Linked DNA regions of Stegostoma tigrinum. The protein of the gene in region 1 purifies or fractionates together with the protein of each later gene. This does not show direct contact. Links are inferred from orthologs where the notes say so. Each region holds a gene or a part of one and is shown in the gene's direction. Other genes may lie near its edges.

Evidence for each region.
Region 2: the proteins of vars1 (region 1) and eef1b2 fractionate together in Homo sapiens (co-fractionation; 3 studies listed by BioGRID, with this or other methods). This does not show direct contact. The link is inferred for Stegostoma tigrinum from reciprocal best matches to the Homo sapiens genes VARS1 and EEF1B2.

The regions. Positions count from the first base shown.
Region 1 is NC_081387.1:26,731,986-26,748,420, forward strand, and holds the start of vars1 (valine--tRNA ligase), read left to right. Parts: upstream 1-9,999; 5' UTR 10,000-10,109; intron 10,110-16,435. Other genes in the region: histone H2B-like, read left to right, coding at 2,997-3,007. UniProt on the Homo sapiens protein: Catalyzes the attachment of valine to tRNA(Val).
Region 2 is NC_081360.1:12,909,011-12,924,999, reverse strand, and holds the start of eef1b2 (elongation factor 1-beta), read left to right. Parts: upstream 1-8,406; 5' UTR 8,407-8,524; coding exon 8,525-8,604; intron 8,605-9,342; coding exon 9,343-9,465; intron 9,466-11,592; coding exon 11,593-11,722; intron 11,723-12,410; coding exon 12,411-12,477; intron 12,478-13,001; coding exon 13,002-13,127; intron 13,128-13,549; coding exon 13,550-13,617; intron 13,618-15,989. Other genes in the region: ndufs1 (NADH-ubiquinone oxidoreductase 75 kDa subunit, mitochondrial), read right to left, coding at 1,005-1,081, 1,750-1,857, 4,061-4,152, 5,144-5,240. UniProt on the Homo sapiens protein: Catalytic subunit of the guanine nucleotide exchange factor (GEF) (eEF1B subcomplex) of the eukaryotic elongation factor 1 complex (eEF1).

The DNA.
Region 1 (16,435 bases):
TATATACACAGATCCCCACCGGCCCTTTTGTTACATTTGTACATATATACACAGGTCCCCACCAGGCCTTTGGTTACATTTGTACATATATACACAGATCCCCACCAGGCCTTTGGGTACATTTGTACATATATACACAGGTCCCCACCGGGCCTTTGGGTACATTTGTACATATATACACAGATCCCCACCGGCCCTTTTGACATTTGTACATATATACACAGATCCCCACCGGGCCTTTGGTTACATTTGTACATATATACACAGATCCCCACCGGCCCTTTGGTTACATTTGTACATATATACACAAGTCCCCACCGGGCCTTTGGTTACATTTGTACATATATACACAGGTCCCCACCGGGCCTTTGGGTACATTTGTACGTATATACACAGATCCCCACCGGGCCTTTGGTTACATTTGTACATATATACACAGATCCCCACCGGCCCTTTGGTTACATTTGTACATATATACACAGATCCCCACTGGGCCTTTGGGTACATTTGTACATATATACACAGATCCCCACCAGGCCTTTGGTTACATTTGTACATATATACACAGATCCCCACTGGGCCTTTGGGTACATTTGTACATATATACACAGATCCCCACCAGGCCTTTGGGTACATTTGTACATATATACACAGGTCCCCACCGGGCCTTTGGGTACATTTGTACATATATACACAGAACCCCACTGGCCCTTTGGATACATTTGTACATATATACACAGATCCCCGCCGGCCCTTTGGTTACATTTGTACATGGCTGATATGATTCTCCCTTTCTCCTACCTTCTCCCCGTATATCACCACAACTTAACTTTAACTGGCTAACTACTAAGAAATCTCACTGCAAATCAAAGACTGCATGCAGCAATCAAAATAAGAACCTTGAACAAAGTGAGTTAGGCCTTAGAACCCAATTTGGCTATTCTCCAATTCACGATGGAGTAAGGCCATTGTTCTACCAACACTAACGATGGAGTATGGCCATTATCCTACCAACAGTAATGGTGGAGTATGGCCATTATCCTACCAACAGTAACGGTGGAGTATGGCCATTATTCTACCAATAGTAACGGTGGGGTATGGCCATTATTCTACCAACAGTAACGATGGAGTATGGCCATTATTCTACCAACAGTAACGGTGGGGTATGGCCATTATTCTACCAACAGTAACGATGGAGTATGGCCATTATTCTACCAATAGTAACGGTGGGGTATGGCCATTATTCTACCAACAGTAACGGTGGAGTATGGCAATATTTCTACCCACAGTAACGCTGGAATAAGGCCATTATTCTACCCACAGTAACGCTGGAATAAGGCCATTATTCTACCAACAGTAACGCTGGAGTATGGCCATTATTCTACCAACAGTAACGGTGGAGAATGGCCATTATTCTACTAACCAAAATGGTGGAGTATGGCCATTATTCTACCAACAGCAACGATGGAGTATGGCGATTATTCTACCAAGAGTAACGATGTAGTATGGCCATTATTCTACCAACAGTAACGGTGGAGTATGGCCAATATTCAACCAACAGTAACGGTTGATTATGGGCATTATTCTACCAACAGTAATGGTGGAGTATGGCCATTATTCTGCCAACAGAAACTGTGGAGTATGGTCATTATTCCACCAACAGTAACGGTGGAGTAATGCCATCATTCTACCCACATTAACGGTAAAGTATGGCCATTATTCTACCAACAGTAACGATGTAGTATGGCCATTATTCTACCAACAGTAACGATGGAGGGTGTCCATTATTCTACCAACATTAATAACCGAAATAACTGATGATGCCTTAATTCCGGATCAAAAACAAAGTTGCTGGAAAATTTCAGCAGGTCTGGCAGCATCTGTGAAGGAAAAAACAGTGTTCACGTTTCTGGTCCGATCACCCTTCCTCAGAATGGAGTCACTAGACCCGCATTCTGTTTTTATCTTCACAGATGCTGCCAGATCTGCTGGGCTTTTCCAGCAACTTTGTTTTTGTTTTACCAACAGTGTCTGTCTCTGGATTGCCCAGGCTTTGATGTTGTGCAGTGTTATTCTTTGAGGTTCTGCTAAAGTCGGTGTTCTGGTGTCTGAATCTTACACAGACATTCACCTTTCAGGTCCAGAATGTGATATTATTGATTATCAGAGGTGTATTCATTGTTCCTTGTTACATTTGGCATGAATTGTCTGTTTGAAAACACAGATTACCTGCAGTTAACGCCTTCAATTCTTCTGCATGGCAATCCCTGTCCTTGTGTTATAAAGCAAGTAGTTATCAAGCAGGCCTTAAAGCAGTTTTTTTCACTTGGCTTAAACTCCCTCTTTTTCCAGATGTGGCCAAATGCTTTCAATTCCCGTATAAGTTTGTTCTTGTCCCTTAATGGTTTATACCAGACCAAGTTATTGCTGCTTCTTTCCCTGTGTAACAGTTCATCTTTTGTTTGATTCATTCTTTCCATGAACAGTTATTAAAGTTCAGAAGCCTACACTGTCACAGCTGTGGATGAGGTCAGTGAGATGCTCGAATCAATCACTAACTGGGATATTGGTGGAGTTGTGTGATGATGCTGTGGCTTAAAAAAGTTACTTTGTCATGGTTTTTATTTTGAAGAGAGGTTTTAAGGCAGAGGTGGGATGAGCAGTCTATGAGAAGACAAACAGATCATGAAGCTTTGAATGATTTTTTTAAAAGGCTGTAACAATAGAAGCAGCCTGAATGGGCGTGATGAAGCTCCCAAGAAATGAAAGCTATTTTTCTCTCTCTTGGTTATAGCCACAAGCTGGGGGTTCCCTGCATTCTACATGAGTTGCATGTGAGACTATCTGTGTCTTGAATTCGCCTTTTGCCAAGAGCTAGTTCATGGGATTGGAACTGTTAATTAGTAATAGTTACTGTATATATTACACTGTTAAGCTTTCCAATAGAGTTAAAGTTATACCAATTCTTCTTTCCTTTGCTTGTATTAAACTATAAGGGAACAATAAAGTGTGTTTTGCTTAATCCAATCAAATTACATCTGTAACACAGCAACTTAAATCTACCTTTAAATAATGCCAGACAGACACAAGGGACTGAATGACCTGTTCCTAGGTTCCTAATTCTGCTCAGGTGACAGATTCCCTTGAACTGAATTGAAAATTCTGTTCTCCTTCCTGGAGATAAGACAGTCCTCTTCTCAACTGAGCTGGAGATTTAACTAAACTGAAATCAACAAGTTGATATTTTTGTTTTGCATGTTATGGACCAGATCAAATACCCCCTTAACTATACCAAGGACGTAATCCAGATCCAAACTTTTATCTCATTTAAAGGCAAGTGTAAGGTGCTTTGTTCCAAACATAATTCAATCTGTATTGGAACGGTTAATTACTAATAGTTTCTGCATTTATTTTCTGTTAAGTTTTCTAGTGGAGCTAAGTTATTCCAAGTCCTTCTTTCTTTTGTTGTATTTTAGCTATATTGAATGAATGATGTGTGTTTTGCTCTAAATCCAGTAGTTCTACCAATTGAATTGCATCTGAAATGCAACACCTTACACTTCCTTTAAAATAAGAATGTGGAGTTTGCATGTTCTCCCTATGTCTGAGAGAGGATGGTGCTGGACTTCATCCAAGTGATCTGCTATCCTGACACAATCGAAAGATGTACAGGTTAGGTGGATCGGCCGTGGCAACTGTAGGATTATAGGGATAGGGTGGGTGGGCGGTTGTCTTTGGGTCTGGTAAGATGTTCTTTGGAGGTTGGTCCAGATACAATGGGCCAAATGGTCTCTTTTTACACTGTAGGGTTTGTATGATTTCCCCAGATGTCAGTGCTTAGGCCACGGCTCTGTGTGGCAGTGTAAAGTTGATTTGATTTATTATTGTCACTTGTACCAGATATTGTGAAAAATATTGCTTTGCATGCTATACAGACAAATCATACCTTACATAAGTACATCAGGGTAAATAGAGCAGATTGCAGAATATAGTGTTACAGCTACAGAGGAGGTGCAGAAAAAGATCAGCTTTGATATATGAGAGATCCATACAGAAGTCTGAAAACAGCAGGGAAGAAGCTGTTCTTGAATCTGTTGGTGTATGTTTTCAAACTTTTGCATCTTATGTTTGAAGGATGTGAGTGGAAGAGAGTAGAACATGGGTGGGAAGGGTCTTTGATTTGGTTGGTTGCTTTCCCGAAGCATTAGGAAGTGTAGAGGGAATCAATGGGAGGAAGGCTGTGTTCACAACTCTCTGCAGTTTCTAACGGTCTTGGGCACAGAGTTGCCAAACCAAGCTGTGATGGCATTGGGATAGAATACTTTCTATGGCGCATCTATAGAAATTAGCAAGAGACAGTGTGGACAGGCTGAATTTCCTTAGCCTTCTGAGGACATCGAGGTGAGAATGTGCTTTCTTGACTGTAGAATTGATGTGGATGGCTCAGGATAAATTGTTGGTGATATTCACCACCTCAGTACCATTGACACAGACAGGGGCTTGTCCTCAACTCCACTTCCTCAATCAATGGTGCTGAGGTCATGGTGTTTGAGAGCATCTCCAACACCCCTGTTTTCAGAGCTTGTCTTCTCATTAAACCCTACTAATGGCAAAACGGCACCCCTATTTTACAATGGGAGTCAAACAGGTGGCTTTCAGCCAATCTGTCTGAACCAATACCCCTTCCAATAAAGACCATGGGGCTGCAGTGTACTCCCTCAGCAGTAGAAGTCACTGTTTCATTAAGAGATAACAAGATGTGGAGGTGAATGAACACAGCAGGCCAAGCAGTAGTGGAGGAGCAGGAAAGCTGACATTTCGGGTCTGGACCCTTCTTCAGAAAAGGACCAGAAAATGTTCAGACCCAAAATGTCAGCTCCTCTGATGCTGCTTGGCCTGCTGTGTACATCCAGCTCCAGACTTTGTTACCTCAGATTCTCCAACATCGCCAGTTTCTGCTGTGACTGTTTTATTAAGCCGATTTTAGCTCATTTCTGTGTCTGCTGGGCAGACGTGTGGGTACCGTAATGCTATGTATTTTATTGTTTAAAAATGCAATGAGCAAACATTTGGGCACTCAAAGACTTCTGTGCAGTCAGCAAGTTTTCGGTTGAGGATGCCATTCACAATGGGATCTCACTGTACATAGTTTGCTCAAATGTTGCAGTGCAGAGTAAAGACTTCAAAATTTGCCAATAATACTACGTTTGGAATTGGGCCAAAGCTGTGCGGATGATCGCACTGAAGAGCCACAGGATAGAGAGGCAAGCAGAATGGGTGGATAAATGGTGAATGTAAGAATTTAGAGCAGGAGTAGGCTGCTCAAGTCTGTTCTGCCATTCAATAGGATCGTGGCTGATCTTTTCAGGGACTCAGGTCCACTTACCCACCCACTCATCCTAATCCTTAATTCCTTTACCATTCAAAAATCTACCTTTGCTTTAAAAGCATTCAGTGACAAAGCCTCCACCTCTTTACAGGACAGGGAATTCCACAGATTCACACCCCTTTGGGGAAAGAAATTCTGCCTCAGCTCAGTGCTAAATCTGCTCCCTCTCATTTTGAGACTATGCGCCTCCCCCCCCCCCCCCCCCCCCCGCCACCCCATTTCTTGTTTCACCCACCAGTGGAAACAGCCTCCCTGGTCCTATCAGGTGGATACAATTTATTTTGGAGAAGCGTGACTATGAGCGGCCTGTTCCACAGGGTTCAGTGCTGGCTGCACTTTTGTTTGTCATTTACATTAATGCATTGTAGAATATAGAAAGCATCTCTAGTAAATGTGTGGAGGGCACCAGGATTGATGGTATCGTGGACAGTGTAGTGGAATCTTGATCAATTGGGTCAATGGGCTGAGGACTGGTAGATGGAGTTTGATTTGGATAAATACCAGTATTGCATTTTAGTAAAACAAACAAAGATAAGGCTTATACAATTAAAAATAGGGCCTTGGGTAGTGTTGTAGACAAAGAGATCTAGGGGTTCAGGTGCATAAGTCTTTGAAGTTTGCATCACACGCAGACAGAGCGTCTAAGAAGAGGTTTAGCACACTTACCTTCATTGCTCAGAGCTTTGAGATTACAATTGGGGTGTCATGTTAAGATTGTCCTGGATGTTGGTGAGGCCTCTTCTGGAGTACGGTGTCAACTTCTGATCTTTCTGTTATGGGAAGGATGTTATTAAGCTGGGGAGGGCTCAGAAGAGATTTACCAGGAAGTTGCTGGGAATGAAGCGTTTGAATTATAAGTAGAGGCTGGATAATCTGGGACTTTTCTCACTGGGGCGAAGGCGATTGATGGGTGACCTTAAGGAAGTTTTTAAAATAATAAGTAGTGTAGATAAATCAGAATGGTGAGTGTCTTTTCCCTAGGGAGGGGGGATTTCCAGACTAGGGGGTACAGTAGCTCAGTGGTTAGCACTGCAGCCTCACAGCACCAGGGACCCAGGTTTGATCCCACCCTCGGGTGACTGTGCAGAGTTTGCACGTTTTCTCCGTGTTTGCGTGGGTTTCCTTCAAGTGTTCCGGTTTCCTCCCACAGCCCAAAGATGTGCAGGTTAGATGGTTTGGCCATACTGAATTGCCCACACATCTGTAGGTTAGGTGGACTAGCCATGGGCAATGCAGGGCTACAGAGATGGGATGGGGCGTGGGTCTGGGCAGGATGCTTTTCATTTGTGTGGACTCCATGAGCTGAATGGCCTGCTTCCACACAGTAATGGATTCTATAGTGGGTATAATTTTAAGGTGAGAGGAGAAAAATTTTAAAAAGACACGAGGGGACTTTTTTTTTGCCCAGCGAGTGCTTCGTGTGTGGAATAATTTTCCAGGGGAAATAGTGGATGTGTGTATAGTTGCAACATTTAAGAGACATTTGGATAAGTACATGAATAGGAAAGGTTTGGAGGGATATGGGCCAGGAGCAGGCAGGTGGGGCTAGTTTAGTTTGGGATTATGATTGGCATGGGCTGGTTGGACCGAAGGGTCTGTTTCCGTGCTGTGTGACTATATATAAGTGTGAGGCTACAGTCATGAAGGTGCATTTATTTAATATGTTAATTTGTAATATGGAAGCATTGATAGTATTGGGGCTGGCCAGGCCTGAAAGCAGCGTAAAACGGCTGGGAAGATTTTTAGCTGAAGCAGTAGTTTGTTTAGTTTGACATTTAAACTTCAACTATGAGCTGTGGTAATCGCAGTGTCTGGCGCTGGAATACATCCAAGGTACAAGATTAATGCAGTCCACAACAGGGCCGTGCACTCAAAACAGAAAGGGTGGTGTTGAGTAGCTGCTGCCTCTGTTTGTACAGAAATAGATGGATAAGGAACGTCTTTGAGGATGCTGATTGAAAATCCTATACTACGTTTGTTCAAAGTCTGGGATTCAGCCCAGGGTAGGAAGGAAGGGCACAATGCGGAGGTGTTCTGCAAAGCGGTCCCCAAGCCTCCACTTATCCCAGGCCCCAAGATGACTTTCCATATTAAGCAGAGGTTCATCTGCACATCTACCAATGTGGTATACTGTATCCATTGCACCCAGTGTGGCTTCCTCTACATTGGGGAAACCAAGCGGAGGCTTGGGGACCGCTTTGCAGAACACCTCCGCTCGGTTCGCAACAAACAACTGCACCTCACAGTCCTAAACCATTTCAACTCCCCTTCCCATTCTTTAGATGACACGTCCATCATGGGCCTCCTGCAGTGCCACAATGATGCCACCCGAAGGTTGCAGGAACAGCAACTCATATTCCGCTTGGGAACCCTGCAGCCCAATGGTATCAATGTGGACTTCACAAGCTTCAAAATCTCCCCTTCCCCCACCGCATCCCAAAACCAGCCCAGTTCGTTCCCCCCGACACTGCACCACACAACCAGCCCAGCTCTTCCCCTCGACCCAGTGCATCCCAAAACCAGCCCAGCCTGTCTCTGCCTCCCTAACCTGTTCTTCCTCTCACCCATCCCTTCCTCCCAACCCAAGCCGCACCTTCATTTCCTACCTACTAACCTCATTCCACCTCCTTGACATGTCCGTCCTCCCTGGACTGCCCTATCCCCTCCCTACCTCCCCACCTATACTCTCCCCTCCACCTATCTTCTTTTCTCTCCATCTTCGGTCCACCTCCCCCTCTCTCCCTATTTATTCCAGAACCCTCTCCCCATCCCCCTCTCTGATGAAGGGTCTAGGCCCGAAACGTCAGCTTTTGTGCTTGAGATGCTGCTGGGCCTGCTGTGTTCATCCAGCTTCACACTTTACTATCGGGAATGATGGCTGGATATGAGGGGAAATGTGAATAATGTAGAGATGATAGAATTTGTGGTTAGCACTGCTGCCTCACAGCATCGGGGACTTAAATTTGATCCCACCCTCGGACAACTGTCTGTGCAAAGTTTGTACGTACTCCCCATGTCTGCATGGGTTTCCTCTCACACTGCAAAGGTGTGCAGGTGAGGGTGGGATTGGCCATGCTAAATTGTCCCATAGTGCCCAGGGATGTGCGGGTTAGGGTGGGATTGGCCGTGCTAAATTGTCCCATGGTGCCCAGGGATGTGCAGGTTAGGGTGGGATTGGCCGTGCTAAATTGTCCCGTAGTGCCCAGGGATGTGCAGGTTAGGGTGGATTGGCCGTGCTAAATTGCCCCATAGTGCCCAGGGATGTGCAGGTTAGGGTGGGATTGGCTGTGCTAAATTGTCCCATAGTGCCCAGGGATGTGCAGGTTAGGGTGGATTGGCCGTGCTAAATTGTCCCATAGTGCCCAGGGATGTGCAGGTTAGGGTGGATTGGCCGTGCTAAATTGTCCCATAGTGCCCAGGGATGTGCAGGTTAGGGTGGGTTGGCCGTGCTAAATTGTCCCATAGTGCCCAGGGATGTGCAGGCTAAGGTGGACTGGCCGTGCTAAATTGTCCCATAGTGCCCAGGGATGTGCGGGTTAGGGTGGGTTGGCCGTGCTAAATTGTCCCATAGTGCCCAGGGATGTGCGGGTTAGGGTGGATTGGCCGTGCTAAATTGTCCCATAGTGCCCAGGGATGTGCAGGTTAGGGTGGATTGGCAAACTAAATGCCCCGTGATGTCCAGGATGTGCATACCATTTGGATTAGCTGTGTGAAATAGAGGGTCACACGGATAGGGCAGGGTGTTTACATCTGGGTGGGATGTTCTTCGGAAGACGGGTTTGTACTCTGGGCTGAATGACCTGCTTCCACACTGCAGGGATTCTATGAATCCAAATGTTAAGAATATCGACGTATCACTCCTGGGTTGTCTGGGAATTATTTGGTGCATACAGGAAATGACTTTCCAATAAAAGAGGGAATAAACAGCTGCCACCATAAACTAATGTTAGATGACCTCCAGGTCTCCTCCCTGCCTGAATTACAGGTACCGCAACAGGAGAAGATTTGAGGATGAAGAATCTGCCGGGACTGTGGAGTCTTGCATTAATATCCGGAAGCATGGGACCAATATTGGAAAGAGCAAATGAGGAAGTACAACCGATGGATCGAAGGGAGACTTTAAGGACTATGGGCTTTATTTGCTCTGTCAGATGGGACATGTTACACCGGGGGGAATAGACGATGATAATGCATAGCTTGTGGTCGATTTCGGTAAGGGACATTAAGTGTGTGCGGTGTTCTACAGGCAGCCTGTTGAATGTGTGTCAGAAAAGGTGTTAAAATGACAGTTTTATGCACTTTTGGAGTCTTTTGTTCCCCTCCCCATGTTCAGTGGACTACAGAGAAGGGGGTGGGAAATAGTGTGTAGATATTATGAATATGTAGGGGTGCCAGTAATATCATTACATGTCTGTTTTCACCGCACTCCTACCACCCCCACCTCCGAGAAGCGGGAGGGAGGATGGGAGGGGGGACAGAGAGGAGGGGGAGAGAGGGAGAGTTGGGAGTCGGGAAAGGGGGTTGCGGTGTGTCAGTGAGCTGCTCCTTGTGCAGTTTGTATTGGATTGTTCCGCAGTTACCAGCAGAGGGACTCCTCAATGCGGATATTACAGAGCAGGAAGCTCCCTCCCACCACCCCCTGTCTCTCTCTCTCTGTCCTCACGCCGGCCTGGGCCGAGGGAGTCTATTCTACCCGGGGAGCTGCGGCCAGGACAAGAAGGTTCGTAACCTCGCCCTGGCTGGGGGCTGGGGGCTGGGGGCTGGGGACAGAGACAGAGACAGAGCCAGAGCTGCATTTAGCGGCAGCAGAGGGAGCAAGAAAGAGCCATGTGTCATTTTATAAAAGTGATACTGGTGAGGGATTGGGGGGAGTCTCAGAGTGGGGCAGGGACAGAGGGAGGGGAGTAGGGGATGGCAGGGACAGAGGGAGGGGAGTAGGGGGTGGCAGGGACAGAGGAAGGGAGGAATGAGAGGATGGGCAGGGGAGAGGGAAGAGAGAGAGATGGTGGGGGTTGTCGGGGAGAGAGTGATCCAGGCGCTCCCGTGCTGGGAGGGCCTGCCTCCCCCACCCCGAGCCTCGGGTTAATCCACCGCCGCTCTTGTACCACCCAGTCCCGGGCTCTGAGCTGACCCTCTCCCGCTCAGTACCAGCACCGCTGGCTGGGGCTTTAGCTTTCATTTACCTTATTGCACCCTTTTTTTTGCTGCTTTGATTTTGCTTATTGCGCCTTGCTGGCCCTGGGAGGTGAGTGTATCTCTACCTCTTAATTCCCTGCCTGTCTGTGCCCTGAGAGCTGATGCAACCGGCTGTAACTTTGCAGCACATGCTAAAATACTTTATCAAGCTGTGGGTCTGCTTCTTTCACATCTGTCTGCAGAACACCACCCGCTCCCTCCCCCTCCTTCTTTATTTTCTTCCCAGCCCCTGATTGCCCCTCGGGCTGAATGCCTTGTTGGGAGAGTCAGTCCCATTTGCTGGTCACAGATTTCCTCACCTAAATACCATCCATGTTGTATACTGTTTTTGTTGTTTGCAGTACAGATGCTCATCTGCAGTCATTTGCTCCTCTTTAAACAGCTGCATGGATGGTGGAACCTGGAACCCCCAGACTTTCTAGGCTCAAACTGCCAACAGGTCCCCCACCCCCATCATCCCCACTTTGTACTTTTATAAATATTTCTATCATTTTACTTAAATTAAGGAGGGATTTGAACCCTAGTCGCTAGTGCATTTGGATTTTCAATCCAGTGAAATTACCACCAAGCCACCATCTCTATCTCTCTCTCTCTCTCTCTATCCTCCTTCCCCCCCACCCGCCCCAAAACATGCGTATTAAACACAGCAGGCCGGGCAGTATCAGAGGAGCAGGAAAGCTGACGTTTCAGGTTTACACCCTTCATCTGATGCTGCCTGGCCTGCTGTGTGTTCCTCCAGCTCCACGCTCTGTTATCCCATTTTGAAATGCTGTTGGCGGTGGAGCAGTATTTATTTTCTAATGAACCTGCTCAAGGATGTTGACTTAGACATGCATTGCCAGGCTCAAGAGCAGCTTCTTCCCCACTGTCAGTCTGAACAAACTCCTCAAATTGCAAATTTAATGTTGACTCCACCCTTTGTGCACCTTCTTAACTTTGCATTCCTTGCTCTGGATGTGAGTTTGCTCGCTGAGCTGGAAGGTTAGTTTTCAGACATTTTGTCACTTTTTTTTAATTTGAAAAAATATACTTTATTCATAGAATGTACAAAAAATAAAACATTTATACACCTACTCAGTCATGCAAGGCACTCCGGGTTACCCAGGGGGTACGTACACCAACTAAAGGCAAAAACAAAACAGAGAAAAAAAAAACAAATCAAAGAAAATACCGCGGCAGTCGTCACCCCGCACAGTCCCCGTTGGCCCTCTGACCAGTTGGGGAAGGCGCCAGCTGGGCCCAGTTACCAGATAGGGTTCTTTTCCCTTTTCTGGATGAGGGGGCTCATACGGTGGTCTTTCCCCACCGCGCCCTGGCGGCGGCTGCCCCAAACTTTAGTGCGTCCCTCAGCACGTAGCCCTGGACCTTGGAGTGCGCCAGTCTGCACCACTCGGTCGGGGTCAGTTCTTTCAGCTGGCAGACCAGCAAGTTGCGGGCAGACCAAAGAGCGTCTTTCACCGCATTGATGGTCCTCCAGGCGCAGTTGACATTGGTCTCGGTGTGCGTCCCCGGAAACAGCCCGTAGAGCACGGAGTCCCGGGTCACGGAGCTGCTCGGGACGAACCTCGACAAATACCACTGCATCCCCCTCCAGACCTCTTGCGCGTAGGCACACTCCAGAAGGAGGTGATCAACAGTCTCGTCCCCTCCGCAGCCACCTCGAGGGCAGCGTGCGGTGGCGCAGAGATTCCGGGCATGCCTAAAGGATCTCACTGGCAGAGCCCCTCTCACCGCCAGCCAAGCAATGTCCTTGTGCTTGTTTGAAAGTTCTGGCGATGAGGCATTCTGCCAAACGACTTTGGCAGTCTGCATGGGGAACCACACGACGGGATCCACCCTCTCCTTTTCCCGAAGGGCCCTAAGGATACTACGTGCTGACCACTGCCTGACGGCCTTGTGGTCAAAGGTGTTTCCTTTCAAAAATTTCTCCACGAAGGACAGGTGGTACGGGACGGTCCAACTACTCGGAGCGTTCCACGGCAACGAGGCCAGGCCCATCCTTCGCAACACCGGGGACAGGTGGAACCTCAGTAAGTAGTGACACTTGGTGTTTGCGTACTGAGGATCTACGCACAGCTTGATGCAGCCGCACACAAAGGTAGCCGTCAGGGCAAGGGTGGCGTTCGGTACGCCCTTTCCCCCATTTTCCAGGTCTTTGTACATGGTGTCCCTGCGGACCCGGTCCATCCTCGACCCCCAAATGAAGTGGAAGATGGCCCGGGTGACCGCAGCGGCGCAGGTCCAGGGAATAGGCCAGGCCTGCGCCACATACAACAGTACCGAAAGCCCCTCGCACCTGACAACCAGGTTCTTACGCGCGATGGAGGGGGACCGGAGCGTCCACCTGCCCAGCTTCTGCTTCAATTTGGTGATATGCTCCTCCCAAGTCTTAGTGCACGCCCCAGCTCCACCAAACCAAACACCCGGCACCTTCAGGTCGTCTGTCCTGACGGTGAAGGGGATGAAGGAGCAGTCGTCCCAGTTCCCGAAGAACATGACCTCGCTCTTACCCCTATTGACTTTGGCACCCGAGGCCAGTTCAAACTGGCCGCAGATGTCCAATAGTCTACTCACCGACCGACGATCGGTGCAGAAGACGGCGACGTCGTCCATGTACAGGGAGGTCTTGACCTGAAGGTCTCCGCTGCCTGGGATAGTCACGCCCTTCAGGCTCACGTCCTTCCTGATGGAGGCAGCGAAGGGCTCCACACAGCCCACGAACAAGGCAGGAGAGAGCGGGCAGCCCTGCCTGACTCCAGATCTAACAGGAAAACTGTCTGATTCCCACCCGTTGATCGAGACTGCGCTAACGATGTTGGCGTAGAGCAGCCGGATCCAATTGCGGATGCCCTCCCCGAACCCCAATTTGGAGAGGACGTCCCTCATGTAAGCATGAGAGACCCTGTCGAAGGCCTTCTCCTGGTCCAGGCTGACGAGGCAGGTGTCCACCCGCCTGTCCTGCACGTAGGCGATCGTATCCCTGATGAGCGCGAGGCTCTCAGCGATCTTCCTGCCCGGCACAGCACAGGTTTGGACAGGGTGAATCACCGACTCCAGGACAGACCTGACCCGGTTGGCTATGGCCTTGGCCAGGATTTTGTAGTCCACGTTCAAAAGTGAAATGGGACGCCAATTCTTAATTTCTTCCCTCCCTCCCCCCCCCCCCTTCCTCTTGTAAATGAGGGTGATGATGCCCTTCCTCATGGACTTGCACATTTCCCCTGCCCGAAGTGCACTATCGTACACCTCCAGCAGGTCCTGGCCAACCAGGTCCCACAGAGTGGAATACAGCTCGACCGGTAAGCCGTCGCTCCCGGGAGTCTTACTCCCCTCCAAGAACTTAAGGGCTCTGGTCAGCTCGTCCAGGGATATCGGCCGGTCCAGCCACTCCCTCGTGCCGTCGTCTAAGACCTCCGTGATAGACGACAGGAACGACTTGGAGGCCGTGCTGTCCGTGGGCTTCGTGTCGTACAGTCCGGCATAGAAGGATCTGCTGATCCTCAAAATGTCGGGCCGAGACGACGTCACCGAGCCGTCGTCCTCCTTCAGCCGGCTAAGCACAGAGCTCTCTTTGTGCACCTTCTGAAAGAAGAAACGCAAGCACGTCTCGTCCTGCTCCACGGAGCGGACCCTGGACCGAAGATTATCCTGGAGGCCTCTGCGGCGAAGAGCGAGGCTTGCTGGCCCCTCACCTCGCGGAGGTCCTCCGTGACATCGACCCCCATCAAATGCAGAAGGAGCAGGTTCTGCACCCTTTTCTGGAGTCGCGACAGCTTTCCCCGCCTCTCTCTCGCCTTCCGAACACCCTTGAGGACAAAGAACCTCTCGATGTTCTCCTTCACCGTCTCCCACCAGTCGCCCGGAGACTCAAAGAGGGTTTCACGGTTCTCCAACCGGCGTACTCCCTCTTAAGCTCCTCGACGTTCTCTGGGGTCAACAGAGTCGTGTTGAGCTTCCACGTCCCCTTGCCGGCCGGCTGGTCGTCCTGTAAGTGACAGTCGGCCAGCAGGAGGCCGTATCCCGCACTCCTGCAGAAACAGGAGGTCAGAGAAGAACACCAGCTCGACGCCGCTGGACCTGACCGAGAACGTCCGTGACACAAACAGGAAGTCTATCCTTGAGCGAATAGACCCGTCTGGCCACGACCAGATGTATCTCCGCTGCACTCCGTCTGCAGGGGTGCTGAAGACGTCGAACAGCTTGGCGTCCTTCACCGTGCCCATCAGGAATCTGGACGTGACGTCCAGTTGACTCCCCCCACCCGCTGTCCCCACGCCGGATCTTCCATCTGCATCAATGACGCAGTTGAAGTCTCCGCCTAGGATGACCAGGCCTGGATGTAGCCAGCAGGAATGGAAGCCACTGCAGGACGGCCAACTGCTCACTCCGTACCGCTGGGGCATACACGTTGATCAGCCTCAGGGGAGCGTTCCTATAGGTGATGTCAGCCACTAGGAGGCGCCCCCCCAACCACCTCCTGAACTTGAGAGATGGTGAAGTTGCGCCCCCGCAGCAGAATAGCCAGATCCAAGGAGCTACAGTCATTACCCCCGACCAGATCGAAGGCCCACAGGTCCAGGCGCCGGACCATTTCCCGTACCTGCCGAGGTGCGGTATCCCGCACTCCTGCAGAAACAGGAGGTCCGCCTTGATGGTGGTCAGGTAGGCCAACGTGGACACGCATCTTGCGGTTGACTTGACACTGCGCACATTAATGCTCACAACTCGTACCCCCATTGTGGGCAGTGACCGCAGTACCCTCCCCAAGTCCAAGGTCCAGCCCCTCCATCTGTCCCTTCGTGCCCATTGCCCGGGCTAACTGCTGGACGCTCTCTGGGCTCAGGAAACTGTCCGTGCTGCCTTCTGGATGGCATCCCCCCGTCAGGGGTGCGGAGGCAGGAGGGTCCGGCTCCAGGTCAGGCTGGGGACGTGCTGTTTCCTCCTTCCCGCCTGGAAGTTCCGGGGGGCCCTCCAGTGCTCCAGCGGCACTTGACTGGGTGTCGGAGTGAGCCTCAGGATGCCTCCCGTCACCTGGAAGCGGGGTGCTGCTTTCCTTCCCCCTCGAGACCTTTAACTTCTGCTTCGGGTGGGCCCTCTCTGAATCCCCCTCGTCAGAGGAGCTCTTATAGCCCCCCTGTAGCTGCCTCTTCCCGCCTGATGGTTGCGGTTCCTGGGCCCGTCGACGCACCTTCCTCCTCGCTTTCCGGACTGTTGTCCACTCCCCTGGGTCGCCTGTCGCCGCCTCCATTGGCTCCGGGTTGTCGGGGGGGATCAGAGCCTGCAGGGGCGCTTTACTGGCCTCGGGCCCATCCTGCGGGGCTGGGCCCTCCTGCACGGCCTGGCCCTCCTGCACATTAGTGGGGTCCTTGCTGGGCCCTGGTGCCTTCCTCTCCTCCGGGGGGGGGGGGCTGGCCCTGCATTGCCCCTGCCGGCGACCTGGGCGTAGGTGGTCCCCTGGCACGGGCATGCCCTATAGAGGTGGCCCGCTTCCCCGCAAAGGTTGCAGCTTTTCTCTCGTGGGCAATCCTTTGCAAGGTGTCCCTCCTCCCTGCAGTTCCTGCAGATGGTGGCTTTGCAGTCGGCCGCCACGTGACCTGACCTACCACAGGCATGGCAGCCTTTGGGTTGCCCTGCGTAGGTCAGGTAGCCCTTGCTCCCGCCGATCGCGAAGCTGGACGGTGGGTGTATGACATCCCCGTCTGCGCCCATCCTCAGCGTCACCTTGACCTGCCTCTTACTCGTCCAGATGCCAAAGGGGTCCATGATGTCAGTTAGGTCCCCTTCCACCTTCACATACCTTCCGAGGAAGGTCAGGACATCAACTGCTGGCACATGCGGGTTGTACATATG
Region 2 (15,989 bases), on another chromosome or scaffold:
GTTAATGTTTCGAGTCCAGTGATTCTGAAGCTCCAGCAATTTCTGCTTTCATTCGTATCAGAACTCCAACATACGTTCTTTGTTTTATTTTATTCCGCAACGTCAAGATCATTCCAGAACTTATACATTTCAATCAAGTCAGCCTCACTCTCTGAACTGGAGTAGAGAAAGACATGGTTAGCCCAGAGTGGGGAGTCAGTTAGCCCAGGTGGTTGGTTTTTGATGCAGAGTGACACCAATAGAGATTCATAGAATTTTGAAGTACAGAATGAGGCCATTTGATCCAACATATCTGTACCGGCCCCTGAAAGAACAACCCAGTGAGTCCCACTCTCCAGCCTTTTTTCTGAAACTTCTAACTTCACCACTTGCAAATTTTTATCCAGGTCTCTTTTGAAACCCTTTGGAATTTGTGATCACTCTTCCAGGCAGCACATTCCAAATAAGTTCCTCATGATCTCACTCCAAGCTCTCTTGCCAACAGTTTTGCAATTGTGATCCCCAGTTACTGATGGGCCAAATAGTGGAAACAGATATCCTTCTTTACCCTGTCTAAACGGCTCATAATTTTGAGAACTTCAATAAGGTCACTCCTTGATCTTCTGATCCAAGCAGAGTTAACCCAATCCTCAATAAATCCATCTCTTAATCTTTGCTGCACAAGGAGAGTAAGCCCAATCTCTCTAATCTGTCCTTGTGCTGAAAATTCTTCATTCCTAGTATAATTCTAGCAAATCTCCTTTGAACTCCTTCCTTAACATCCTGCCTTAAACAAGCTGCCCAGAATTACTGGTGAGTGAATGAGGTAATATATTTGTGTGGCTGCGTTACCTGAAACACTACCCGGGTAGTGTCTCCCACCCATCCTCCTCCTCTAACCAAAAAAAGGTTCTGTGTGCCTGATTGGTAAGGTAACAAGTTTATTTTTTATTCTTTATTTTTCCAAGTCTTGGGAATTTAGAATAATGGGAACGGAGGTCATTTTTGCTGGTAACATACTATACCTGGCTTTCTTGCTTTTCTCCGAGTTGGTAAGAATATTCCACCCTTTCATCACAGGCATAGCACAGGCAGCTACAGGCTAAAAAGAAAAGCAAACCTAATTGGCACTCAGTTAAATTATCAAAATAACAGCAATATGTTAAATCAGAAAGTAACTCATATGGACATAATATAATTATTCATAATTGCCTCTTCAATATTTATGGTTTGATCAGGGAGATTCAAACCCTGTAGTATTTTTTATTTAATCCCTTTTTAAGAAGGGGGTCTTGTTGTTGACCTGTTTTGGAAGTTAGTTGTAATTTCTGAAATAAATTATCTTTTACTTTTCAGGAACATGAACATGTTTTAAATTGATACTCTTTTCTTTGTAAAAAGTGTGCAGTGTCCCACCTCCAACAGCACATTATCAACAGAGGGGACAATTCTGCATTTTAAGTGTTGGCAAGTAAAGAAAGTATTCCGTCATGAGGGGTAAGGAGGAATAAAAAAAAGACAGAGTCAGTCAGAGGGAGGTGTTGAATGGCATTGTACAATGTTGATTGCACTCTATTTCTCAGTTGACTCACTACTGTTTTCCTGTAGGAAGATCATCGTTTCCCAGGCACAAAAATCCTCTTACTGAAGTAAGTATTCAATTTTATGACAATGGAATTTATTTCCCTACCCATCACTTTCTATTGCCCATCTCGTCCAGCATATTCACCCAATTGAAAATCCATCAGAAAGCACTAACACTTTTATTACCTTAGGAGCTTTTTCAATTTCCACCAGGCACATTCGACAATTCCCAGCAACGGACAATCTGTCATGGTAACAAAACCGAGGGATCTGTATGCCAACTTTTTCACAGGCCTGTGATCAGAAGAGACAAATGGATTGATCACAAAATGGAAAACAAATAAATAATTTACTTTTCATAGGCATGTTTTCTTGTTTAAATAGGGAAAACTGTTTATCTAACGAGTTGTTTCAGAGATAGTAGGAACTGCAGATGCTGGAGAATCTGAGATAACAGGGTCTAGGTTTGAGCTTTCCTTCTCCTCTGATGCTGCTTGGCCTGTTGTGTTCATCCAGCTCTTCATTTTGTTACCTAATGAGTTGATGGATACCTGGATAATGTTATGCGGCACAGAGTTAAAGGTAAAGCTGCTCTAGTCCTACAGGACAACATGTTGCACTCTCATTACAGAGAGATGACTGATGTGGTTTAACCTGAGGGTCACCACGCCCCAGGTAAGGGAGTGGTTGAGAAGGAAGGTCCTCATAGTAACCTCAGCCAGTGGGAATTGAGCCCATACTGTTGGTGTCACTCTGCATTGCAAACCAGCCAAGTGAACTAAGCTTGTATTGTCAGTTAATCGCAAAAGACATATCATAATCGGTCGAGATCTTATACGTAACTCTATTTTTAGTCTCTGCTCCATATCTTAAAACCTCCAAAACCAGCCAAAATAGGATAGATAGAGAAAAACTCTGTTTCTCTTTTTTGAAAATTTCGTCATGTGGGGGTACCAGTCGCATGACACCAGGTTATGGCTCAACAGGTTTATTTCAAATCAGAAGCTTCTGAAGCGCTGCTCCTTCATCAGGTGAAATAACCTGCTGGACTATAACATGGTGTCAGTGACCTCTGGCCTTGAAAATTTCAATCACATCTCCCTTCAAATTTTGCAACATGAGAGGATACTATCCTGGTTTATGCAACCTGTCATAATTTAATCCATGGGAATCCAGCATAATTCTGGTAAACCTAAATCATAATCCAACTAAAACCAACATATCTATCCAAAGGTGGAGTGTCCAGAAATTAACACAGCACTCCTGATGTTTATTAACTAAAACTGCGACAGCTATCCAAAAGCCTGGTTTGGTCACATCTGGAGTATTGTGTCCAGTTCTGTTCGCCTCATTACAGGAAAGATGTGGAGGCGTTGGAAAAGGTGCAGAGATTTACTAAGATGTTGCCTGGAATGGAGGGAAGGTCTTACGAGGAAAGATTGAGAGAGCTAAGGCTTTTCTCTTTAGAATGACGAAGGATGAGAGGTGACTTGATAGAGGTGTGCAAAATGATCGGAGGTATAGACAGGGTAGACAGCCAGAGACTTTTTCTGAGGGTGGAGGCAACTGTTATGAGGGTGCATAGTTTTAAAGTGAGTGGAGGTAGATACAGGGGAGGCAGAGGCAAGTTCTTCACCGAGACAGTGGTAGGGGTGTGGAATGCACTGCCGGAGAGGGTAGTGGAGTCGGCCTCATTAGGGGCATTTAAGCGGTTAATAGATAGGCATGTGGACAATAGTATAAGGTAAGGGTGGAGGTTAAATAGGCCTTAGCGTTAAGGTAAAAGTTTGGCACAACATCATGGGCCAGAGGGCCTGTACTGTTTTATGTTCTAATGTAGTGTTGTTGAAACACAAATTTTCCTCTTATATTGACACCCTCTCAATACAAAACTGATAATTCCATTGGCTTCCTTGATTATTTTCTGTACATGTCCATGGCATTGTGACAGACTGGGTATATGGATCTTCACTGTGTCTAGTGTTTCATGAAAAGAGTATGGAGACCTATCCTTTTTATTTCCAAAGTGGATTTTCTCGCACTAATCTATATCAAAACTCTTATTACACTTTTGCTTATAGTTAGTTCATCAATATCGCTGTAATTTTACACTTCCATTTACAATGACATCTATTTTTGTGCCATAAGCACAGCTTGACATGTGACTATCTCCCACTTATTGCAGAAAGAGTATCCACATTTCAACCTATAGGTAACATACAGTACTTTTGCCCCCATTAATCTAGTCAAAGCCCAGCCAACTGGGTCCTATTTGTGGATTGCAAGATTCTGCAGTTCAGAAACTCTAGGAACACAAGATTAAACAACAGTAATAAATACTGGCATTATGCTGAATGTCCAAAGATTGATCCACGTGCAATTTTACTTGTTTCTGACTTTCCTATTCCGCTGAAGTAAATGTCTGCAGGAATCTCTTTTTAATCCTTTCCAGCACGACCTAGGCCTAAATTCACAATGCTTAGGTTCGCAACTGTACCTGCAGAACAGTGGTTCCAGGCTCCACCATCACCTGCTTGCCATCAATAAACACTTCAACCAGGTTGCTCGCTGCTGTAGCAGTGCTGCGAGCTGAAAAGTAAAATAAGGAAGTTTACCAATGATTTTGTTGTACCAGCAAGAAAATTTTTACAAAGACACGAATAAAATAACTTTACAAAGTGTCATTTTGGGATTGCAGTGCGCAAATGAATAATCCATTTGGTTTCTGTTACTCGAGCGGTATTTTCCAAACAAGGTCACTGCCAGTGACTGAGCTTGGGTTGGGGTGGGCAGGGCTATGGCGTGTTGTGGTGTGGCAAAGTGGACAAAATGTACAAAGATACAGGTTAAGTATATCAAATCTGAATATCTAAAGACTAGAGATGCACATTGGAGATAATTTCCTTTGATGTGACACTTCAACGAGAAGCTCCTTTGGTCACTTGATGGAAGAAACTCATTACGTTCTACACATGCTGTAACTCCCAGGAATGGTAATATTATAATTCAAAAATTTGTCATGGAAGGTGAGGGTGGAAAACAGAGGGTGGCTGCTTTGCAAAAGATTATGCAATATGGAAGCAGGAAAAGGGCATAATCAAGAGTTGAGAAGTATTCGACCGTGTGGGGCTTTCAGTGCTGTTAAACTTATACTGCAACAGAATGAGACAGAAAAAAGGAAAATAAGGAATCAACATTCTCCCCATATATTGAAATTAAGGCATCATGAAAGGATTGTTTTCAAAATGTAGACATTTCACTGATGCAATTCAGACCTTGCCAGCTAAACATGATGCAGACCCATAGAATATGGTGACACTAAAAGCTCACTGATGGCTCCCAGCAAGCCCAGTACTTATAACTGCTGATTGCTATCTTCTCATAGGAAACAAGGGCTGTCAATAAACTTGGTCAGGTCAGAAAAGCCAAAATCCAGAGGGCAAATCAATAAGAAATTAGCTCTCATTCATTTTTAGCACAAGCATGACAAAAAAAGTGATCATTTTATTGTACCCTTGTAAATGTGTGCATGAAATTCTTTTAAGATCAGCTGTATTGTTGATCACAGTAGTTTTCATACCATTATTCTTTGTTCCCAGGATATCTTTGGCAGATTGGGAAACACCTGTTAACGCCTTGCGAAGCACAGGTAATCGCAGCATGATTGAGACCTGCATAAACAGCAAGAGTTCACTTAATGGTCACAAGTGTTGCTCAGGCTGTTCTATACTAGAACAGAAAAATTAATATAAAGCCCCCATTCAGGAATTCTTGATCGAAGTTATCCTTTTTGAGGTTAGGATCATAAGTGGAAGTATGTTTCCTTTGTTGCTCAAGGTTGAAATCTGAGCTGTGAGAAACTTGGCATTTTTTTCAATTCACTTAAGGGACATGGATGGCACTGGTTGGGCCATCATTCATTGTTTGTACATAGTCACCCTTGAGAAAGTGATGATGATCTGCCTTCTTGAACTGCTATAGTTCATTTGGTGCTGATAGACCCATAGTGCTATTTGGGAGAGAATTGCAGGATTTTGACCCAGTGACACTGAAGGAACAGCAATATTTGAAGATTCTCAGCCACCTTTCTGCCACTCTCACCAAGCTGATTCTGTCAGCAACAAAAACCTTGAACAATCAGGATCTGAAGATGCCAAGATTCAGTACATCACCAAAAGATAGCAAGCCTGCTTGCTCTAATCTGTGGACACTGATTATTGATGAAACACTGGGGTGATCTACTGAAACAACTCAAATATTATTCTGCGTCAGTCTGAGGATATTAGCATTCAAAATTACAGAATGCCCAGCTTATAATTAACAATATATGTTATCTTATGCAGGGTTTTGCACTAAACTGAAGCAACATATGATGGCTGAAGCATGTTAGGCCAGATTGCACCCTTTAGCTACCATTTCATGAAAAATGGTCAATTTGAAAACATTCACTACCGATTCTACAAAATTGCAGAACTTAGCATTGATTCAGCACAACATGGTCACGTTTCTCTAGCCCCAAAAATCACGTTTCGGGATATACATGGCAGGTAAGTCAAATTCCTATTTTTAGTCATTGATATACTATACTTGCATTTGTGATTAGCCAGTTCACGGCCTGTAAGTGGATGTTTAGTGAAATGTGCGCTTAGAACCTTATCACTAGGTGCTTAGGATCAAATAAACAATACAAGTGAAGATGTGCAGGAGTTTAAGACAATCCCATATAGAGCAATTTTATATGGCAACAAAAGGAACACTGATTTCACAGTGAGGCAAAAGTGAGATATTGCACCAAGGATTGAACTGGTAGCTTAGAAGGAATCAAGTGATGTTGATTGCAGGTATCCTCCACAAAAACACCAATATTGTTTCAGAGCCGATCCCAACTGCAGCAACTCACCAAATCTGCCTCGACAGCACCTGCCAAACCAATGACGGCAGCTGCTTCTCTAGGAAAGGGAGCAGATGAATGTAACATCACCACCTGCAAGTTTTCACCCATAGCACTCACCATCCTGAATTCAAAATATAATCACCATTCCTTGGTGAGTGCTATGGAGGTCTAAATCCCAAAACCTCCTCCTAAACCACACAATAACTACAGCAGTTCAAGAAAACAGATCACCACCAGTTTTGCAAGGACAAATAGGGATGGCAATAAATATTAACCTTGCTAATCAAAACCACATCCCCAAACGAATAAAAAAAAGCTATATCAACCAAAGGCATTAAATTCACCATGCATTTCAGAGAATAATGGCAGCAAAAATAAATTTTATGATAGCATCTATCACATCATGTGAAAGTGTTTTAACATTGAAGAAAACATTCCTAAAATTGTTACTGTTCTTGTGTAGGAAACACCACAAATGTTTACACAGCAAGGTCACAGAAACAACACTGTGAAGCTAGTTAAGCAAACACAACACATTCAGCAAGAAACAGGGATAATTTCGTTACTCTTCAAAATATTTGAAGGAAGTTTTTAAGTCTACCCAGTAGCAGACAGCTTGTGGTTTCAGCAGAAAAAAATCACAGCCTTTAAAAAACGCGATTGATTTGTCACTCAAGGTTCTGAATGGGAGGCTTCAACCTGACATTTGAGATGACAAGGAAGATTCTGAGGATATCTGTTGTTATTGTGGGATGGCTTTGGGCAGCATCTACTCACACAAAAAAGACAAACAACTGTGCACGACGTAAGCCAGAAACAAAAACAAACAAACTGCCGGAGAAACTCAGCAGATACGGTAGCATCTTTGGAGGGAAACCAAGTGATAACGTTTCGAACAAAAACAGAAGTTGCTGGAAAAGTTCAGCAGGTCTGGCAGCATCTGTGAGAAAAAAAGTTAATGTTTCGGGTCCAGTGACTCTTCAACAGTCCTACAGCCAATTAGTCTCAGTGTGTTCAGCCGCAAACTACTGTAGATGCTGGAATCGGTACAGAAAACAAAAAAAAAATACTGGAAATCATAGCTCAGTCTACACACCTTGATTTCAACACAATGCAGAATGAAATCATTAGCTACTGACGGGGAAATAAGAGAACAAGGTAGGTTAAATCATATTTTTTTTAAAAAAAGGACGGGTGGAAGTGTTGGGGAAAGAAAGACTGTGTTTACAAACAGCGTCGCATTAAAACTGTCAGTTCAACCTGACCAACACTCACACGCAGAGAGGAGAGTCAGACGGTTCACAAACCTCTCAGGCAAAACTCAAAGATTCTGCTCAAGGGCAAAGCCCACAAACCTGGGTCTGCAACCGACAGACACCAGAACAGGGTCGCGAAATTATTCCACCGAGCACACCAACTACCTCAGTTAATCACAGACAAGAGTAGCCAATATCAGACGTTGCTCTCTGCCACCAGCAACACTCGTTTCGCTATTTAGCCTCCCCAACCAGAACAGCGGTGCAATGGCGGCTCGGACTCGGCTCCATCCGACCACCACTCGGCAATCTCCGGAAAGACGGGCGTCGTCGGAAAAAAACCCGCAAAATCACAACGTTCCCGATTTAACATTCCCCTTCCTCTCCTCCTGCCGCAACTCAGCTTTATAACCGTAAGGAAACGCGTAAATAAAATCGGGTGTTGGTTGCGTGGGGTGGGTTTCCTTTTAAAAAACACAGGCTTCGGCTATTTCCGTCTCCACCCTCCCCCTCCCAAAAGTCGACGTGAACTTTCCCGAGGCGAGCCCGTCGCAGCTTAACTTTAATTTCAAAAATGTGTTCGGTTGCGGGAGGGTGGTCGTGTTTGTTTTGGATTATTTTCTTGTTTTTTTTAGGCTCCGCCCCCCCGACCCTCTTTCCGGCGAGGATATAAAGGCGGCGCGCGTGGTCGGTCGCCCTTTTTGTAACGGCTGCCGCTCGCGGTGGCGAAGCAATCGGAGTTTAGGAGCTGCAAAGTCCACCGGCCTGCCCGTCACCTACCACCCCACTATTCTCTACCTCTCTCTTGGACATGGGATTCGGCGATCTCAAATCTCCCTCCGGCCTCCAGGTGCTGAACGACTACCTGGCGGACCGGAGCTACATCGAGGGGTGGGTAAGGCCGCTCTTGAGGATGGACGGGATCGGTTGGAGGGGGAGGGGGCTGATGTTGGCACATGCCGGCCTGAGGCCCTCACGCCGCCAGCTGGATAAGGATCTAGGCTAGTAGGCGACCCGATTCGGACTGTTCACCACGTCGACCCTTCACGCCCTCGGCACGCTTCCTTGGGACGCGTTACAGCTGAAAGTTACTTCTGATCGTGTCTTAGCCGTTGCCCTTCTTCCGTCGCGCCCCCACCCCTTTTTTTTGCTCTTCCCTGCCCCAATCCTCAGGCGTGTTTTTCTTCACCCGATTCTCCGCCCTCCATTACCCTTTCCCTTCGTCTACCCGCTGCTGTATTGGCATCTTTTCTGGGTAAATTTCTTCTTGCTTCTCTTTCACCCTCCCCATTTTATCTCAATGCTATGGGCTGTCATGCCCCCATCTGACTTTTCGATTTCTATACCCTCCCAAAATATACCGCTCTTGCTTACTGTCTTCCCCTGCCCTAGGACACTTCCTAACACCCTTGGACTGTCTCCTACTTTTTTTCCTCCCAAATCCCATCCCAGCTGTCCATTCCCTATTTCTCCAAACACCCGAGATGAGGTTTTGTTTTATTTATCTCTCTTGTTTTCTTTTAAGTTCAGCTCTTCGACATGATGGTTCACTTTGTTTGCAGTAGTAGTTGTGTGTGTCTGTGGGGCAATGTTGTTTGATTTTGTAAAGTAATTCCTAATTTGTTATAGGTATGTTCCGTCACAAGCTGATATAGCTGTGTTTGAAGCTCTTGATGCTCCACCATCAGCTGACTTCCACCATGCACTTCGCTGGTACAACCATATCCAATCCTATGAAAGCACCAAGGCTTGGTATGTTATGTTTGATATGAGCTGTTTGACACCTACTGAGTCCCACTATTTATGGTTACAGCCTGTGTAACTATTGGGAAGATAAAACAGCTGCAGTGTGGTTAATAACTTGACCTTTTTGATGTCTGTTAGATCATCCAGGGGAATGCTGTTCAAGTTGTGCAGTAGTATATTTGGTCATTCATGCAGGCTGGCTGTTGAGGGTGTCATTTCCTTTGATCTGCACGGAGGTGAATGTTCCTGTTATGAGGTCTGTTAAACATCTTGTGGACTTGAAATGTCCATTCTAACTGACAATTCACATGACCTTGTGATAACTGTTCACTTTCAAGCTGAGAATGATTTGCTTGAGTTAATCATCTCATTAGTCAAACATACCTACTGAATTGTTGTAAGCCATATAATGTATCATTTTGAGCTCTTTTGGTCTAAGCTTGTGCTGGCTCTTTCAAAGAACATTCAGCTAGCCTCTGTCTCATTTTGAAGATGGGGCTTGCTGACGATCGAAACGTTCGGTATGCAAACAGGACCCCCCTCTTAGCACATTTGTTGCCGTTGATGTCTTGATGCCTGCCAAAGAAGATGCCATTTAAAATAATGAACAGTTGGCAAAACACTACAAGTGTGGCAGCATCTGCAGAAAGAAATCCGTTCCGAGATGCACGTGCAGAACAATCCCCAGGCTCTATGCTTTTTCTACAGATGCTGCCAGATCTGACTTTCCCCAGCAGTTTCTTTTTGTTTAAAATTTCCAGTATCTACGATCTTTATTTCATTTTTCATGTTTTTATTTCTCATCATCTGGTTGCTCACCTAAGTTGATCAGTCGCCCAACAGCCTTAATTTCTTCATGCGTCCAGACTCTCTCCACATCCTTAGGCCACTCATTTCTTCCACCCTGACTATGGTTAGATCTGCCTCCAAATCAGTGGTTGTGCTCTCTGCTTTCTCCTGTTCTGACCCTGTCTACTTCAAAACTCAATGACCAAAGTTTCCCTTGAGTTTATCTTGGGACAACTTCAAGCTGTACCCCCAAAAGACTGATACTAATGTGTTTACACTTCATTGGTCGATCACTTCAAGGAAAAACCTGCATTACTGATTATCAAATGCAATGTGGCTGCTTTTGTGTCTAAATTAAACTGATTGCTGTCATCATGGATGACCTGCATTGTGTGGATGATTGCAGTTTCATTGTGTAGTCTATACCAGTCTTGCAAGTCATTTGACAAAAAGTGAACTTGAATTAACTTTGATAAAGCGGTGTAGAGCTGGAAAGCTGCTCCTCTGCTGCTTGGCCTGCTGTGTTCACCTGGCTCTACACCTTGTTAAATCAGATTCTCCCGCATCTGCAGTTCCTACCATCTCTTAAATTAACTTCGATCTGTTTTTAGTCAAATATTGCATCTCTGAAACAGAGACTTGTGGTTTATAGTTCCCATGCCATGGCAACTGCCATTGAGATCCATCAGTAGATGAGCTGTATCATCTTGACCTTCCACACGCAGTGACAGCAGGTGTTACATAATATACACGAGTTGTTGATCTAGATCCATGGTGTAAACTTTGGATCTCTGTAGGCCACCCTCGACTCTATCTCTTTGAAGAGCATAACTTTTGAGGCCACAAACCAGTGATTTTAATGGCCTAGTCATTGCATCAGAGCTGTATATAAAATCTGTGGATTTATGCTTTTTTTTGTGTAGTGATTATTTCTATTTAATTGTTTTCCAAATGTCTTGATTTATAGTGCAGGCTTGAGTTAGATGCCAATTTCATTTTCCAGTTGGAGAATTCCAATTCCAGAAAGATTCCAGAAAGTTTCCAAAATTAGCAGCAATCCCTTGACCTGGAAAGTAGCTTCATTTCTAAAGGCTTCATTGAAATTTTAACTTGAGGTAGAATGGTTGCAACTCCAAAACCAACAGTGTCTTGTAGATAAGACAAGATCATGGGGGTTGTAATAGAGCAGATTTTGTATCAAATGAAATTTCAAGATTTGTACTGTTTGTGTTTCAGCATTAATTTGCTGGGCTGCAGAAGTGGGAAATCCTGTCACTACTTCTGAAGTTCTAAATACTGATGTTTGCTTGCCTATTTGCATTTCTGACTCTAAGCCATTCTTAGCCTTCCAGGTGTTAAGCAGCCCCTTAGTAAATATGGTCCACAAAATGTAGCAGATACAACAACAGCAAAAGCTGTGGATGACAATGATGACGACAATGACATTGATCTCTTTGGATCTGATGATGAAGAGGTAGGTTCAGTGAAGCTCTTTGTACTTGCTTAAACCCTCCTGGCCTGAATTGAGATAAAGTTGAAGGATGTTTTTTCTGTAGTCTCGTGAAAACTTTGGTAACTGTTTTCAAGTATGCTTGAATTCAAAAATACAAATTTGAAAGACTTCAGCTTTGATACATTACTTGCCCTCAAACACCTCCTCCTGCATGGTGGAGGCACCAAGTATCTGTAACTGTACTAACTTCAAAAGCAGCTTATAACTGTTGTAAATTTGCAGAATTTGTTCAAAAACTAGTGGCTGAGACAATGAAGCCAAGTTTGTTCTGTCTCTAGGATTGTGGAGTATCCAATTGTGACCAGCTGAAAAAGATTTATCTATAAAATTGGGGTTGCTGGCAGCCTGAGAAACTGATTTGGTTCCAAATCGGAGGTTACTGAATTTAGAATGGCTTGGTTTGTTTATGATTTCCAAGCATCTGGCGCTTGTTTTTGATTTTACATTTGTCATCCTTTGGCTGATTTTGTGGTTATGCTTTCTCCAATGAATACCCTACTGTATCTGATTAAAATTGCAGATGCTGGAGATCTGAAACAAATTGCTGGCAAAAAGTCAGCATCTGTAAGGAGAAAGCAGTGTCAGAACTATATTTTACTACATTGTTCCACAAGTGTAGTTGACAGTTTCTTGTATCTATTTCTTGCAGGAAAGTGCAGAGGCTAAAAGGCTTAAAGAAGAACGTCTAGCCCAATATGAAGCTAAGAAGTCCAAAAGTATGTAGTGTCACTTCAAAGTTTAGTGATCTCTAGTAAAGAGTGCTTAATGTTTTATCAACTTGTTTAAAATTCTCCTTAACCTAGTATGATATGTCCTATTATGGGTCAAGTGTGTTGAATGTGGAGACGTTCAGCTGTGCAAATACTATAATAGATGAACAACAACACCAGTTCTTCAGTTTGTTTCATTCCTAATGTATCATGTTCTGTAATGCAGTTGCAAGGAATCAGCATTAAGTAAATGAATGCTGTGAAATGCAGTGGTTTTAATGATGATTTCAATTCACCATCTTTCGACTGAATCAGTGATGTGAATTAATTGAATCTGACAAAACCAGTGTTTTTTATTGAGAAATTACCCACTCAGAGGATTCCAGCTTTGTAGGTAAGGAGTTTGTGGAGAACTGGAACACTGAGGTATACAGTGGTATGGCAAGTCCTTTGTATAACTGCATGTAATTGCAGGCTGATGTTCTAATAAATGATCACACTCATGACATGATCTTGTCGGTTTTTTTTAGAGCCAGCACTTATTGCTAAATCATCTATTTTGTTGGATGTGAAGCCATGGGATGATGAAACTGACATGATCAAAATGGAAGAGTGTGTCCGTTCAGTGACTATGGACGGCTTACTTTGGGGTGCCTGTGAGTATTATTACTTTACATAATGGCCAGACTGCTTGCAATATTCTGTAATGACCTAGATAGTGATAAGTTCAGGTCTTGAGGCCAACCCAAGTCACTTTGCGGATATTTTTCCAGTTTTGGAAAACTGCAGAATTACTAAGTAGACAAATGGATTGTTGGCTTGGTATAGCATCAGGAAGCAGCGTCTATCATTCTGATCGCAAACTGCTGTTATGTACATGAGTAATATGCCAAATTTCATTTGGCCATCTTGGGTAAAGTTCTCAGTAAAAGTGTAATAGTGACATTTTTGTATCTTGGCATATTGTTATGGCATAAAGACTTCTGCTTTTGAGGGTTGTTTCTTTGTCCTTCCTAAATCTGAAACTAGGAAGGATGGTAGCTTTTTAAATTCTCTAATAACTACTTTTCCATTCTAGCCAAACTGGTTCCTGTGGGTTATGGCATCAAAAAGCTACAGATTCAGTGTGTAGTTGAAGATGACAAGGTAAGCATGTTTCCAACTATTGAGCAAACAAATCTCAATTTAAGCATCTGCAATTGGCTGCTGAAAAGCCTGTGTACTTTTATAAAACAAAAACAATATATTTGAATGGATTTTTTTAAAGCTTCCTATTATACTTCATTGAATTATTGAGGAAGAGCTTTGTAAGTTTAAATTGATCATTCAGAAAAGATTGGCAAGCTTATCACTTAGTCTGCTTCAAGTAGCCAGAACTGCTGAGGTCAGAGTACTTTTGAGCTGTCCTCTCACTTTGACTTGTGTTAAATGCTCACTTATTGTGTCGCAAAGAATTAAGTGTTATGCTGACTCCTACAGAATATTGAACCTGATTAATGAAGGTAGATGGCTGACCTATTAAGCAAGTGAGCTTCTGCAAATTTGATTTTGGCTGGTCATTGCCAGCTTCAGCGATTTGATACTTATTCACTAATTCACTCTTAATGTCCTTTTTACAGGGGATTCTGCTTTAATTAGATAGTTACATTCCAGTGCAACTTCATGTCATATAAAATCGAGCCAGTGGGAAAGGTGGGGGGAGGAATGATGTGTGTGGGGCGGTGGCAGGGTGGACGGACCACCAAAAAAGGTAACAAAGGATAGTACTGTTGTCAACAGCTGTTTGGACAGGTTGGTCCAACTCGGTTCTTAACAGCTGTTTGAAATCATTGAACATAGAACATTACAACATAGTACAGGCTCTTTGGACCACAATGTTGTGTTGCCCTATTATCCTAGTAAGATCAATCTACCTTGTATATCCTGCATTTTACAATCCTCCATGTCCTTATCCAAGACTCGCATGAGAGTCTCTAAACAATCTGATGGATTGTGAGACTGAGCTCAAAATTCTGCCACACTCCTACAACCCTTTATGTAATGAGCTGGCACATCAGGTATTCCTTTCCTTACTGAGGATGTTTGCTCCTTCTGGGGTTTTGGGATGATGCAAACAGTTAGTCTTGTATATTAAACAAGAATCTGTGCCAAGCCAGATGAGGATAGCTGATGATCAGTCAGTTTCAGGAATCTTTGGAAAGACAGAAGGGTTACTAAGAAATGGAAATTTTGGGGGTTGGACTGCAGTGAATAAAGAAAGTGTGGTGGAGCAACGAAAATCAGGTGTGCAAGAGGCTGGACTTGAAAAAAACACTTCTTTCAGCAAATTGCTCAATTGTTTGAGATTACAAATTGAGCTAAGACTTGAGGATTTGATAAGGATGAGAATTTTACAGTTAAGGTAATGGAGCAAAGTGGTAAATGGAATTTAAGGTATGTCTCAACTATCACCAACCTGGAGATTGCTTGAAGGGCTTTTCAAAAAGTGGGGTGAGGAGAGAAGAGCAGCAGTAACAGTAGACCCACAAGAAGCCACGTGATGCCAGCCTGAGTGGTGGATGACAGTAAACTATAGACAGTGTCACCCCTGACTATTATAACTGCTTGTGTCCTTCCAGCAAGCTCCTGATGACGTCTACACTACATACCATTAGCAAAGGACTCTTGACATCAAGATGCCCAATTGATGGAATTGCTATAGCCAACACAAGTTTGTGTTGAAGAAATAGCATTCCCCTATTTGTCAGTTGCATTACAGTCAATTTGTGTTGTCAGAACACGTTATAGCAGAACCTCCTGTACAGCTGAACTGAGGTGGCAAGTACAAATCCCTGATCTGTTTGGATAAAGTAACATTAGCAGTGTTATATTTTCCCTTAAACTTTCATTGCTTTCAGTAAAAATTGTTTGACTATCAGGCCTGAATGTTGAAATTGACTTCATTGGCTGAATTTTGTGGTTGTATTTTGTAAATTTCTGTTGCAACTGCAGAGATTTGCTTGTGCAGAATTTGGTGTTTGCTTAGGCAAACAAGATGAAACAGTAGTTTGTGGTCTAAGTGCATACATTTGAGGTGAAACTTAACGTTACGGTGGGTGAGTAAATGATATGCTGCAGGATTTCACGTTGTAGCCTGTTTGATAGCTTGTATGGACTTGTACCCATACAGTACAGAAAAGGCACTTGAGTCCATGTCTATACTGGTCCCACTTTGCCCAGTGTCTTGAATGTTTTGATCCTTCAAGTTTGTTCAGGTGCTTAGTAAATATTCAGGTTTTGTGCCTCAATTGCCCCTTTGGGCTGTGCATTCCAGATTGCTGGCGCCCTCCTGGGTGAAATAAAATCGCAATCCTCCTCAAACCCCCTGCGATTCACCTTGTGTGTCTGCCCCCTTGTTATCAATCCTTCGACTGAAGGAACAGGTGCTTTCTATTCCCCTTGTCCTTGCTCCTCAATCTGGTATGCTGTATCAGGTCTCTTTCTTTTCTATTCTTAACAGTGAGATTATCCAGCCTTTC